Linked DNA regions of Rhinolophus ferrumequinum. The protein of the gene in region 1 interacts with the protein of each later gene in a pairwise test. Links are inferred from orthologs where the notes say so. Each region holds a gene or a part of one and is shown in the gene's direction. Other genes may lie near its edges.

Region 1 (6,915 bases):
AAAGCTATTATGAGGAATGTGTACCTAATGGGACAGAAATCATGTACCTTGGTCAGCACTGGGGAGGCCATGAGAGTCTCTTTCCCACAAAGCCAATGAACAAGTCTCAGGTTCGAGACCCGGTGTTGGGGGTGAAGAGCTCTGTTGCTTCCCAGACCGTCTTCCTATAAGACTATCTGGAAGGTATTCTCTCTAAAAACAAGAAGGTCAGGAAGACCAACCCTGCCAGCACTCTATGGGAAGACAATTTAGCAAGCACAGTGGTGTGGCCGGCGTTGGGAGACGGCACAGCCACCTGTCCCCATGTGGCCAGACTGCCAGGCGCCCCGTAGAAAGCACTGCCCACTCGTGTGTCTGAAATGGTCTCTCGAGCCTCCAGCCCCCAAGCAGGCATCAGCGTGCAGGGTGGCAGCTGCCAGCAAGGCCGGGTCAGCCTCCATTAGCCTGGTCCATTCGCCACAGCCGGCTGACCACACATTCTGTATGTCCCGAGGTGAACAAGTTGGGAAACACTGCCACAGAGGACTGTCTGCTGACCTCTGACCTTAGAAGGACGAGGACAAAGGAGCAGACAGCTTGCGAAATGGGTACAAGGCACCTCGTAGGCCACCCAGGGACCAAACAGCAATGCAGAGGGGCTGGCAGCTCTCTGCCTAGGAAAACAATCGCCCAACAGCACCACAGGAAGAGCTGCAGTGAGGGCAGAGATTTCTTCCAGGAAAGCCTGGGTTTAGGACAGTGTGGAAATGTTAAAAAAAAGCCTCCACAGCCAGCCCCCTGGAAGGGCATTCCTGCCTTAACACGAAGGAGGCTGTAACGTGGTCACACTAGCCATCATCGCAGGCCAGGCTGAGCCCTTTACAGGTGTCACCTCATCAGCTGGGTAGCTTGTGCCGCCTTTTACAGATAAGGAAACTCAGATGAGGCCCCAGGAGGTTAAGTCATTTGCCCAGGGGGCATTCAAGCATTTCAGAGCTGGATATGAGTCCAGGGCTGGGCTGGTAACCTGCACACTGGACCACTGCCCACAAGGTTTGTGCAGGAGAAGGGGCAGGTCATCGGTTCAGTGGCACGCACATTACAGAAGTATCAGCAAGGACTCCTGGGAGGATGCAGGTGAACAGTCTCATCCAAGAAAATGTCAAATGTGAATCAGAGCAGAGTTGCCCACATCACAGTGCCTGAGGAGGGGACGGGCCGCTCGATTCAGCCGTAGTTCTTCCGCTTCTAGAGGCAGAAAGCTTTCCATTCTCACTCCCGAGGTTCAAACCCTGGATCTTCTTCCTAACTCCCAGCAAGCTCTCAGGTCTCAGTTTCCTAATCTGTAAAATGGGGATGATAACTGCCTGCCTTAGGGTTGTTATGAGCCATAAATGAGATCATCAGCGTAAAGTACTTAGCACAGTGCCTGAGACGAATGAGTGAATGAGCGCTCTGAGTCTTAGCTGCTGACTCAAAGCACCCCTTGTTGCCAAGTTTTCTGCTAAAGACACCCACATACGTATGGATTAGGGAGAAGCATGTGAGCCCATCCAAGTGGTGGGGCAGTGGGACTCCAGGCCTGGCCAGCCAGCTCTCTGCCTGCAGAGGCTCTGGCTTCCCAGGGTGATGGGTGGCACCCCCTCCTTCCCAGGCCTGCTCAGGAGCCCACAAACCCAATTACTGGCTTATGAAAGTCACTCGATTTCCCCAATTCCCCAAGCCTGTCGGCCACCCAGTGTGTAACATGGGTTGTGGGGGTCACTGTTTGTGTCTCCTGCAAAGGGCTGTGGGGGGGCTCCCACTCAGCCCCCACGGTAGTCAGAGGGGCCTTTCAAAAGGGTAAATGAGTAAAATTGTCCAAAAACTGTCCGCTGCTCCAAGAATTCAGTTCCACGTCCTGAGAAGCCGGCCACATGCTCCATGATCTAGCCCTTGTCTACCCCTCTCAGCTCACCTCTCCCCACTCGTACCCCCTCCCACCGCACGCTGACAAGTGTCTGCTCACCCAGCGCTGGAGCTCACACAGCAGGCCGGTATCCCCCTGGTTTCCCACGCCTGGGACACACTCTCCACGCCTCACGCCTTCACACCTTTGCCCCTTTCTTGAACTTCAGCTCAAATATCACCTCCTCTGAGAGGCCTTCCCTGACCACTGCAGGGGCAGTTGCCCTCCCCCTCCCCCGGGCACTACCATATCACTTTTACATAATCTGAACTTCTCTTAGAAACAGGCCTGTTTACCTGCTGCCTCCCCCTGGAGCACTGGGCGAGGGCCTACACCCAACAGGTGCTCAGTCAGTGTCTGCGGAATGAACAAATGAAACGCCTGCTGCACAGTCAGTCCTCCACGGAGGTTTTTATTGTCACACATAATATCCCCATCACAAGGTCTCTCACTCCCCAGCCTCACTCAGGGGCTGCTGGGAACTCCCATGGAGGTCTCCTTCCGCTAAAAGGCCCTGGAACTGTCAGTGAGGGGCCCCTCACTGTTTGCCGCCCACAGTTCTTTCACCTGGCGTCTCTGGCACCCCTCTCTGCCAAGTGCACCCCCTTAGGCAGAGCGCACGGGCACCTTTAAGGTGCAGGTGGCACTGGGCAGCCTGCTCCCCAGGTGTACCTTGCCCCGCCTCCTCCAGGTATTAACTGACTTTTCCCCGGCAATGTTTGTTTTAAGGATTAAAGATAGTGGAGGAGCCTGTAATTCCCAGAATCATTTGTTCCTTTGCTGGCAGCCAGCACCACATTTGTTATTCTATTTTCCCAAGCCCCTGACAATACCGCTCCAGACACGTCGGTTTGATGGTATCATCCAACGGAAAAGTCTGATGCTTCCCCTACCCGGCAGGCAGTCTCACTGGCTTCACCGAGGGAGCCCTGGGCCCTGTGTTCTCAGCACCCCTTTCCCTCCTCTCTCTTCTCTCGCATCAGCCTTGAGGCCCATGATCATTTTCTCCTTTTTTTCTGTTTCTTTGTTTGTTTGTTTGAAGTACTACCGTGACCCCACCACCATCAGCTTTATCTGGCACAGTCAAGAAACGGGCTACCTCATGTGAGTAAATTTTGAAAATAATGGCTTTCAAGCACTTAAACTTGATACATTTTAAAAACAGTTTTATTAAGTTATAACTGACACACGATAAACTGCGTGTATTTAAAGTGTACAACTTGATCTGTTTTGACGTTTGCACACATCCGTGAAACCATCACCACAATCTAGATAATGAACATATCCATCACTCCCAGAAGATTCCTCCTGCGCCCCCCCCTGCCGCCATCCCCCTTCCCAGCAACCACCGGTCTGCCTTCTAAACACATATTTAATGCAGAGCTGTCTCACCGACTTCCCCACTTGGAAACAGAGTGTGATCAATGGGATTGTTCCTTGATTCAGCATGATGGTTAACGTTACTGAAAGCCATGTCCTCAGATGTCGTGGAGAGACATAGGACTGTTTGCCCTGAACACTAAATGGCTCCATTGTTGCATTGCCATGCCTGGCTGTTTGGGGTTGGGGAGTTTCTCGCTCGCTGCCAGCTGTCTCGGTGCACAGTTCCCAGCAGACGACTCCTGTCGCCTGGCACGCTGCACACCGCCCACCTCCTGTGCCATTCCCATTCCTCACTCTGGATCAGTGGTTCTCAGCTAGGGACAGTTTTGCCCCCCAGGGGACATTTGGCAATGCCTGGTGACAATTTTGTTTGTGCTAATGGGTGTGGGGGTGCTGACACCTTGCGTTTTGAGACCAGGATGTTGCTAAACATCCTACAATGCACAGGACACTTCCCACGAAAAAGAATGATCCAGCCCAAGATGTCAGTGTGCCGAAGTTGAGAAACCCGTTCCGGAAAACAGAACTGGTTGGAAGAGTCAACAAGAAGTCACGATAATTAGCTGTTTCACTTTTCTGAATCGAGGAAGGAAGGGCAGAGGCCTCCTGGAGCTGCAAGGCCACATAGTAGGACAGATTCAGGAAGACCCTGGCGGTCTCAGGTACCTCCTTCCGGCTCTACCTGAGCGGGCTTCCTGGGGACAAAGGCGAAGGCCCTCGCCTGAGGCACCAGGGCCCAGCACTCAGCACGTGCTCGATGAATGTCTGTCACACTAGACTGCTCACCTGTTAGGTGCCCAGTTCTGGGTAGCACTGGCTGGGCTTTGAAGGCGACGCAGAAGACACAGAGGCAGAAGAAGGGAGCCATTAAACCGACCAGTGAATCTGGGATTCGGCAGAGCCAGTTACTAAAAGGTAAGTGCAGACCCACCCCTGTAACTGGGAGGACGAGGGCTGGCCATGCCGGGCTCCTGTCCCCACCGGACCAGGTGCATCGCCACCAAATCCCTCCTAGCTCCTCCCCCCGCCCACAGACACCCTGTTGGCCTGTCATACAAAGGAAGTTTTCCCAAAGTGGTTTAGCCAGAACTGGAAGGGTCCTGCCTTGGGAAGGGATAGGAGGGGCTGAGGTGCCCTAGCGGTGGTCAGGACGGACTCCAGGGATGCTGGAGCTAAATGGTGAAGTGTGGCCATGCTTTATTCAATTTTGCATGACTTCGAGGTTCAATTATTTTATTATAAAAGAGATTATAGACATTCTTGAAAATGTGGGTAAGCAAGAAGAAAACAAAAAAGCTTGCAAATCCCACCCTTTCAGAGAAAACACCACTTATATTTTGTTGTGTGCCCTCCTTTGCATGTATGCATGTGGTGTAGACATTTTGATGAAAACCAGGTGTGGGTGCTGCTGCCGAAAGCTTTGTTTGAGGAGCCTGAAAGCGGGGAAGAGGTTTTGAGAGAAAGGGACCCCCCAAGAGCATTCCAGTGGGACACGGGGAGTTCCTGGAGTGAGGTTGACCTGGTAGATTTAACTATAGGCCTAGGGTTGCTCTTGGGAGCCTCCCAGGTCAGCCCCAAGTCCAAGGATAAAGAGGCATGGCTGGCTGGCCCCTTCCTCCCCGACCCCTGCTGCGAAGGTGGGAGGCCCTTCATAGCCCCTTCCTCCCTCAGGCCTTACCCAGCGGCCTGCTCCTGCCCACCAGTCGTCCTCCCTCCCTCGTCACCCCACGTGGTGTCCCCATCCTGTGGACTGCTGTTAGATCTAATAAACTGTGATCCAGAGGCCCTTGGGCTCCTAAGTCAGGGGACCTGGGCTCCAGGTGCTTTCGCTCCCTCGGCCTTAAAGCCTCAGCTGAACCCTTGGGGGTGATAAAGAGAATAATACAGGACTTGTTCCAGTGGCTAGCAGTCACCAGACGAGGCAAGCTTGGGACCCTCCAGAGGGCTGTTCCCTCCAGAGGGGTCTCAAGGAGAATGGCTTCCAAATTCTTTTTAGCAACAGAGTTGTAATAAGATACAATCACACGTGAAACCCTAAAATAAGAGAGGGACAAAGGTGGGAAGCTCAGGGCGAAGCAAGGCCCGGTGCTCACTTGCTCAGTGCTCTCCTCTCCCCTGTGATGCACGTCTGAGCAACACAGTTCAAGGATTCTGCCTCTGCCAAAGGCAGCCTTGCTGGGCCAGCCTGGCGGGGATGAACTGGGAACTCCCATGCCTCTGCTGCGGGTGGCATCCATCTGAGACAGAGCTCTTCCTTCCTCCTCTTCCTCCTCAGACCCACTGCTCCCCTGCAGCCCAGCCTCCAGGATGGGTGGGGCACCTAGAGGCAGCCAGTATTGCTTTCTGTCCGGGTTGACCTTTCTTCTAGGCCAGAGGACAAGTGGGAAGGGCACTGAAGACTCCGAGACTAGGTGGGGCCAGTCCTGTCCCACGTTTCCCTCAATGGGATTCTCTTGCTCACAGACTAAGGAGAAACCGTGACTCACTTCCTGCTTCAATCAGACTATAGAAGTATTTTTTCCCAAGAGTGGCTGGCACTGTGGTGGGGGCTACCCCAGGGTGGCCCCTACGATCTTAGCTCCTTATCGGGGCAAGTTCCCTCTCCCAGAGGGAGCCAACCGGACTTATGTCCCAGCCCACCTTTCAGGACCCCACATTCTTCTGAAGTTTCCGGTTTTTGCAGAATTTGTAAGGGTGCCCAAATGGTATCTTAGCCCATTAGTTGAATATTATCTCCATTTTACAGAGGGGTAAGTTGAGGCTCAGAGTTAAGTAATATGTCTAAGGTGGCATAATGGAAAAGAGTGCTACAGGGATATGAAACCAGGTTTGTTGGTTGACTTGTCACATAGTGAGTCCTTAGGAATATTACTACAACTCTCTGGCCTTGGTTTTGTGCTGTGTAAAATGTAGACAGTGATACATAAAAGGTGCCTAAAGGAAAATGTATTTATACCCTCATGGGGGTTGTGGTGAGGAAGAAATGAGTTACATGGAAAGAGCTCAGAACAGCACCTGGCTCCTAGTAAGCACTGGGCGGTGTTCGTTTTTATCATTGTCCCCAAACCTGTGTTAAGGAGGCCACAGGATAATACTGTGCTGCCACGTTATCTCACAGTGAACAGGAAGGGATGGGCAGAGACTGCTCTGTGACCTTGGAATAACCTAGCCTGGGGAGCTCTTGGCCACATTTCCCCTCTTTTCTTTCTCAGCTCAAGCAAGGGCCGCCTCGCCAAGTAGCACAGACGTTTTCTAGGGCAGGAACCCAGGGAGGGAGGGGAGTCGGCTGGTATATTGCAAGTACTGGGATCCAGACTCTGCCAAAGCCCCACACCTCTTCCAGGCTCTGAGGCCTGCTGGTTTGGTACCTTGGGCAAATTATTTAAGCTTTGTGCGCCTCAGTTTGCTTATCTGTAAAATGGGATTAATAATGTCAGCTTGAAAGGATTATGTGGATTAAATAATGTACATAAGGAGATAATGTAAAGTGACTGGCCTGGTGCCTGGCAGGCGGTTGGTGTTCAAAAAAAAAAAAAAGTTAAAAGGAGGTGGGCTTGTTCTGCTTATCCACCTGTATATATAGATGCAAATAAGACCGTGGCTTT
Region 2 (7,530 bases), on another chromosome or scaffold:
GAACTGACATATGCTTAGGTAAGCCAGCATCTCTACTCTTCAAATTCCTTTATTTGAGAAGAAATTATATACATAAATTTTTTGATAGCCTCCTATTACTATACATAGAGTTTCCTTTTCCTTTCCACAAGAAGTGTGTCCATTTCAAGAGAACTTTTCCTCATCCGTTCCTCTACCTTTAAACAAGAGCAGCTCCTCTATGACCAGTTCTCCATCATGTTAGTGCCACAGACTAGCACTAGAGACAGAGCAACTGGAAAATGAGCAGAAGGACATGGGATGGGCCACCTGTCCTATAAAATAAGGATGTTTAATGACAGCATAACATGCTGCAGCCAAAATCAAAATAGATCACACGTGTGCAATACATTATGCCTGCTAACACATCTTACGGATATAAAGATTCCCATTACTTGTTTACATTGTTTTTCATAAATGAGAAATTAATACAAAGAGCTAGGTTAGCAGCACACCTTGAAAGAGTGAAACTCTTATGTGTACCTTGTAACCTTTCCACAAATCCATTTAACTAATGCTTGTTAGCAGAGTTGCTGAACTTCAGCCAATTATCAAAAAGGTAAGATAAAAAAGGATTTTGAAAAAAATCTATACTAAATTTTTTCTATTTAAAGAAGCTTGGTTATACATCTGTGCCCAGGGACTATTACTTTCTATGATAAAAACATATGGGGCCTTTGAGATACAATATATAAAATGATTTATTTTCTGTGTTAATATTCACTGTAGGGAAGAAAACCTTCATTTGAATGGGTGATGTAGTTTGCCTTCCCAGACCCACTAATGGATTAATTGTACAGAGAAGGTAGTTGCTGAGGTGGTCTTTGTCTTTATTTAAATTAATGGTTTACGGTTCCTTTTCTTTTTATTTCATTTTTCTGTGATCTGTCTTTAAGTACAAAATCACTTCACCTTGCTTTACATCTGAAAAGCGTTTAACGATAGATTAGACACTCAAATTGATGTGGAATCCTGAGATTCTTTTTCTTTGTAAATAACTTTGGAAACATTTCACTAACAGGGATAATGGAAATAAAGTTCATGATGGATGTGGTAACTGATGGCAGAAGCATGTTGTCCACCACACCAAATAGAACATATATAATCACCATGCTTTCATTGTTTCAGAGCAAGACTTATGTAAAAGGTGCTAGTATGCTATTACTAGGGCTATTGTTAGTATGTATTTAGGCTAATAGAACAGAATCTTAAATTTGACTTGTTTCTAGTTTAGTTGCTTGAACGATTTTCGTAACCAATCTAGATATCGAATTCCTCATCTTCAAGAAAGGTTACTAAGACATTTATGTTGTGGGGGTAAATTTAAAGATCAAATGGACTAATAATGCATGTAAGCACTTAGCACAGTACTTGTCATATAATAAGAACTTAATGATATTAGTTTTGCTTATTAGTTGTTATTTATCAACAGTTAACAAATTCATATCTAGAAAAACTTGTTTTTAAAAAGTCACTAGCTATTAATGAGTTTCAGATGAAACCAGAATATAAATTTGTTTTATATTTTGTGAAACCCACAAGGGAAAATACTAAAATGTGTCTATTTTTCCCCCACCCAGTCACTGTTTCTGTGAAGGGAATCACTTCTCAGTATGAAAACAGTGTAGCAGAGCATCAATAATTGAGGCAGAGTTAATATTTCTACTCTACATCTTCAACTCCACGGCTTAATATGTTCCCCATTTAAACAAGATTAGAATATAAGTTAGGTGTGTAAGAGTTCAAATGTAAATTTTTTTTCTAAGAATGATGATACGTTTTCAATGTAGCAATTGGATGTTTTATTTTAGTTATTTATAGCCATCCATTTTTAGGATAAAAATATCCTAAAATATTCAGAGTATGACTTAAAAATTGCAAATAAAGAAAAAGCATGCATTAGAAATGGGAAATGTCAGTGACACACAGGCAAGGCTCTTGGTAGTTTAACACACACTGGGAAAGAAGTTCTTGTAGAGATGAGTAAATTCACTTTGCGAAGATGAAGGTCCACAGTGAAAACCCCTGCACAGTACTTTTCCTTCTCAAAGAATGCCAGAATCATATAACTGAAGACTTTTCTATTGGACTTAGATAAATGATCTTGTGTGAATGCGTGTTGTTATCCTTAAAGTACGAGACACAGGTTTGTTTTTTTAAAGTTTTTCTAGGTTTGTTGAGATATAATGGACATATAGCACTGTGTAAGTTTAAGGTATACAACGTGATGTAGAGTTTGCTTTAACTCTTTAGAAGAGTGATTTAAAAAAAAAAAAAGTGGAGGGATCCATTTTCTGATCTTTTTGGTTATTTGTCTAAGTTCCCCAGATCTGCTGACTGCCTTTGACCTTCTCGACTCCATCCTTGTGCATTAGTCCGGAGAATGCTGAAGCACAGCAAGATAAACAGAGGCAATGAAGATAGATGGGGCATCAGAGAAGCAATCTAGTAAGGAAGGTTTACAACTTGACCTTCTGATATACTTGGAACAGCATCATTAGCAGTTGTAATTACTTTTTTTTTCAAGCAATTAGATCGTTTGTCTATTCTCAAAAACGGTCATTGCTTACATTACCAAATTCTTACCTCTCTTAGTTGTTTTTTTCTTCATCCAGTTTACTTCCTAGTTGCCCTGCTTTTTAAAATCTTCATTATTTTGATATTTATAAATACTCATCTGTAAAAGTTGTTCATGCATTTTATATGTTCTTTTGTACTTTGATTTGGAGGAAAGGATAAGTGACTATCCTTAACATATTTTTTTAATCTTTAAAAAAGGTAAGGATGTTAACAAGGGTGCTAAATATATCTTTGTAATATATATTAATAATGATATATATTGATACCGAAAATATTTTAATTTGAGAGTAAATAAATGCAAGTTAACACTTTTAGATTTCCCCTATTACTTCCAAACTATGGGCACCATGGCCTTTTTGATAATTTATTTTAACAATAATTTCTGATCCTGTAAAAAAATAATTTTTTTTCACACTTATTACTTTTTCCTAAGATAAATCCCAGTGGATTTCACAGTTTCATAATGCATTAACAAACTTATTTAATACAGTGGCTAGCCTTCAAGTGGTTGTCATTATATTGAGTCCTCTTTGTGTTTACAAAGATCAGTATGTTTCTAATTGTACCCATATTTGCAATAAATGCCATTCCTGTTCTCTATACTTCTAAAGGATGACTGTGGATGAACCCTCTGGCAGAGTCAATGTGTTCCTACCCAGGCACTGTCAGGTAAGCCTGCCTAATCAGCACCTGTTGTTGGTGCTCTCCTCTGTTTCCCTCAGGGGTCTTAGTGGTAGGTCACCCTGGGGATTTCAAGAGACTCCTTGATTGAAAAGAGAATAACCTGTCAGTTGTTGGGATCTGTTCTCTGAACTGTGAGAGTTTGTAACATGAAGTCGCTGTAGATTGATGTAGGGCTGGATCTCAGATCTGGTGTGTGTGTGTGTGTGTGTGTGTGTGTGTGTGTGTGTGTGTGTGTGTGTGTGTCTGTGTCCATCCATTACTACAGGGGAATCTTCCAAAGTACTGAGGCTGTTTGTTTATTCCTCTAATAAAACACCTATTGCTATTATAAAGAATATTAAGCATAAAAGAATTGTCAACACATCTTCTATGGCTCTTAATGAACTCCTTGTGATTTGAATTGTTTTATCAGCGACAACAATCCTTGGGGGAGGCCACAGGAAGTCACCTCCAGAGTGTCCAATAGTATTTGGTGGGTAGGAAAGAAGGAAAAACACTAGGGCCACGGGTGAATTTCTGCTCTCGGCGTCTTGCTTGGGAGCAGCGGTCTTGCGGTACGGTATTAATGGTTTGAAAGGTCGTCGCGTCGCCTCCCACCCCCAAACAAAACAATGCTTTGCTTCAGATTATTTCGTCCATACACAGTGCACTCTTTTTTCTTCATCCCTTTAGCTGCTCCATCGGCTAGACATCCTAAACTTTCTCACTGAGGCTAAGGCTCTGGAGTCCCAGGGGTTCTAGTTATTCCGCGGGCTGCGGCATAGGTGTCTATCACCGTGCTGGGGCGCAGGAGCTGCCGAGAAGCCAAGAAAACTTTCTCCTGACCCTTAGCATCTGTAATCAGTCTAAACACCGAGTTAGAAATCTTTGCAGCAGCGACCTCACTTTTCGTCCTGGGGCTCTATCCCCACCACGCCCACCCTGCCTACGCACACCTTCGGAGCCTCCTTTCCGCAGACCCATCCTCTGTGCTGTCCTTGACTGCAGTTATCCTGGCCCGGCAGGTTCTGGGTACGCCTAAAGCCTCTGCTGCCGCCTCCGCCCGCGTTGCGTTCCCCGCGTGTGCGCTGGATTATTCCAGTCTTTGAGCATGGCAGATTTCCACCGGATGACATCATGGGAGCTGAGTGAGTGCCGGCTGCGAGAGGGGGACGGAGAATGGGAGGGGGAGGAGAGGAGGGGAGAGGGCTGGGGAGCAGAGCCAGAGCCGGGCTGCCCGCCACCCAGCTGCACGTCCGCAAGCTGGGGAGGAGCGCTCCGCCCGCTATTGACAAAGGGTGGGAGGATGCCTGAGCCCGGGGATGCTCGTTGTGCGCAGCCGGTTGGCCGCCTGAGCTACTTCGCCCTCAGCCGGTGAGTGATTGCGAAGATCCTTCAATTAGCTTCACCCGGTGTCCGCACCCTCCTCCGCTCGCCTACCCGGGCGCCTGCGTCCTTGACCCGCCAGCGGGGCTGGGCAAAGCACCAGACCCGGAGCACGGGCAGCAGGTGCCTTTGCCCGGTGGGTCTGCAGAGGAGCTGAGACTCCTGGCTGAGGTTCGTGGTGGGTGCTAGGACCCGACTCCTTGTGGGCGCCGCTCTGGTGAGTGGAGGCTATTGAAGCCGGCGACCAGGGGTCGTTTCCTCTATTGGCAGCCTGCGCCCGCCCTGCGCGCAACTCGTTTCGGGTAGATCCCGGTGCGCCGCGCGCTGTGTCCACCAGCTTGGTACCAGTCACCGAACCGCACCCCTCGAAAAGCGCGGAACCGATGAGAGCCACTTTACCGGCTCACCAGCTACCGGTGTCGGCTTGCGGAGGACCGGCACCGACTGCCCAGGGAGGGCGCGCGCCACGGGCCACCGAGGGCAGCCTTTGTCTTGGGTTTAACGCTGATGCGCGCAGACCTGAGTAAGGCTCTCCGCCACCGTCGAGTGGGATCCAGGTCTCACGCACCCACCCGCCTGGGCGAGGGATGCCATTGTGTTCCTGCTGCGGGTGGAACTTAAGACGCTGGGACTTCAGACGCCAGAGGGTCCTGCGCCCACGGTGAGTGTCGCAGTTCTCCAGGCGCCGAGCGAGCTTCTTAAGCTCCAGGAAGTGAAGTGACCAATTGAGGCAGATAGACGCCCAAGTTCTGTTGGCCAGTGGTATGAGTGAAAGAGCAAACTTGGGGAGACTCACTATCGCTCCCCCTCTCCCCCCGGTTTCTTACGTGCTTATCTCGAGGAGTATTTGTTGCAGGGTGTATGGAGTGAGAGGCAGCTCCAATATATAGTTAGGGAGATCCGCGTCTTCCTGGCAACCCCTGTTAGGCAGTAGTTCCACAAGAGGTTTGCTTGCTAAACAGTTTTGAAATCGGTATGTTTTATTACAGAGCTTTAGAGCTTAAAGAGAAAAGACTTGGAACTGGCTCAGGGACCTTAGTTTAGAGTCGTGCTGCGTGTAAGTACTAGAAAGCCAACGTGCCATTACCCACGCCTCCTCGTTCGTTACCTGTCGGCTCCCCACACGTTTAATCAATGAATTCTCTTTGGTAAGAGTCCAATTTTCAGATCACGGAGAAGTGACTGTATCTATTGGAATGTTTGATTTAAATGTCAACTTATTTACAAAAGAAACACTTTGTGAGAAAGGTGTAAAGAAGTGAGAGTTTGCTACGTTGGGATCCAGTTACTTTTGGGGGAATTTCATCCGCCGCAATCTAAAATATTTAAAATTTTAAGAGCTATTTTATATTCATGAATTTAGTGTATAATGGACGATCCATGAATACTAAGGTGATTTTTGGTATACAAGTTTGATATTCCAGCATCTAAGATAATGCTAGGATATAAGAAAGTAACAATTAGAGTTATAATTAAAAAGATCGTTTTATTTTTGTTTTCTGAAAAAAGCTTACTGGTTTTCTTTTAGATTGTTTATCTTTCTTTAAAGATAAGTGATCCTAGTGAAGCTTTTTAAAAACAGAAATATCAAGGTAAACTTTCTTGATCAGTGATTGCTCTTCTGATAAAGTTAGAGGTCTTTTCAGAAAAGACACGATAGAAAATTATTGAGATAAGAAATGTGGTGAAAGTAAAAAGGAACTGGGTGAGATAATACCAGGAGGTTTTACTAAATATAAATAAGTTGTGGGACTAAGATGGGTATCAGAGGATGTCACATCAGTTGTGCTTTTGGAAAAGCTCATTGTGGCTTTTAGACACTTGTCTCTCCTTCCCGGAAGTGCATAATTAAATGTTTGATTATGTTATGTTAGGTTGAGAGACCAACATTATGATCAAAGAGAGATCTTTATTCAGGATTTCTGGGGTTTCCAGCAACATTTTCTCCTGTGATTCAGAAGTAATTTTTATTCCATTGTTTGTTTCCTGACTTCCGATCACAAAGGGCTCCACCTGTTTCTTCAAAAGTTTTCTTTCTTTCTAACTTTATTATACTCATCTCTTTATAGTGAAGCTTAAGAAGCTTTACATGAAGGTTCTTATAGGACCTGTTGCTCATATTGGCTGCTTTCCTTAAATATTGTAATAACAGAATCTCTTTTTGGAACTAGCAGAGCGAACATACTGTCTGCTGATGTGCTTATGTGATGTGGTGTACCTGACATAAAAATATACATTTATATAAAATATATAATCAATTAGAGAATCAGGCAACAAAGCAGGAGGTATGTGGTATTTGGCTCATGGGTTTTGGCAAATAATATTTCCTTTAACAATAAGATGTTTTACCCCCTGTAGGTGGTAAGTAAAAATGTACTTTAGGGATAAGCGGTTATATTTTATGTCTGAAATCTTTTATTTCAAAAATATCCAAGAAGGCAAAAAATGCTCTGGTCCTTCACTACACATACACTAGAATATATAAGGAAAGTTCTCAGAAAGCGTAAGCATCTTATAAATCCGTATGATTTGAGGTAGTTGTTATTTTTAAAAACATATGAAATAAAATAATGTCCTTGAACTAGAGAATAGTCTCCTAATATTCTTTAATATTTCACAAATATTTTGACTATTTTATTCCACAAGGACTCTTAATTTGGAAAGAGGACAGGAGGATGGAGTCGCATCAGAAGACAAAACACACTATGGTATGTTGCCCACAGTAGGCAATGGTGATGTTCAAGGTCATGGAACAGAGGATTATGTCAGAACACTGGGAGATTATCAAGGAAAGATTATGTACGAGGAATAAGTTTGTACTGTTTGGTGGTTTCTTGCTTTCACTTTTCCAGTTTGATTTGAACAGATACTATAGGAACTCTG

What was found. The genes of interacting proteins can lie anywhere in the genome.
Region 2: the proteins of FURIN (region 1) and MARCHF1 interact in a protein complementation assay, tested with the Homo sapiens proteins (2 studies listed by BioGRID). The link is inferred for Rhinolophus ferrumequinum from reciprocal best matches to the Homo sapiens genes FURIN and MARCHF1.

Annotation. Positions count from the first base shown.
Region 1 is NC_046311.1:3,746,833-3,753,747, forward strand, and holds the start of FURIN (furin), read left to right. Parts: upstream 1-3,852; 5' UTR 3,853-4,225; intron 4,226-6,839; exon of another isoform or gene 6,840-6,915. UniProt on the Homo sapiens protein: Ubiquitous endoprotease within constitutive secretory pathways capable of cleavage at the RX(K/R)R consensus motif. Mediates processing of TGFB1, an essential step in TGF-beta-1 activation.
Region 2 is NC_046301.1:52,394,401-52,401,930, forward strand, and holds the start of MARCHF1 (E3 ubiquitin-protein ligase MARCHF1), read left to right. Parts: upstream 1-4,502; 5' UTR 4,503-5,308; intron 5,309-7,530. UniProt on the Homo sapiens protein: E3 ubiquitin-protein ligase that mediates ubiquitination of TFRC, CD86, FAS and MHC class II proteins, such as HLA-DR alpha and beta, and promotes their subsequent endocytosis and sorting to lysosomes via multivesicular bodies.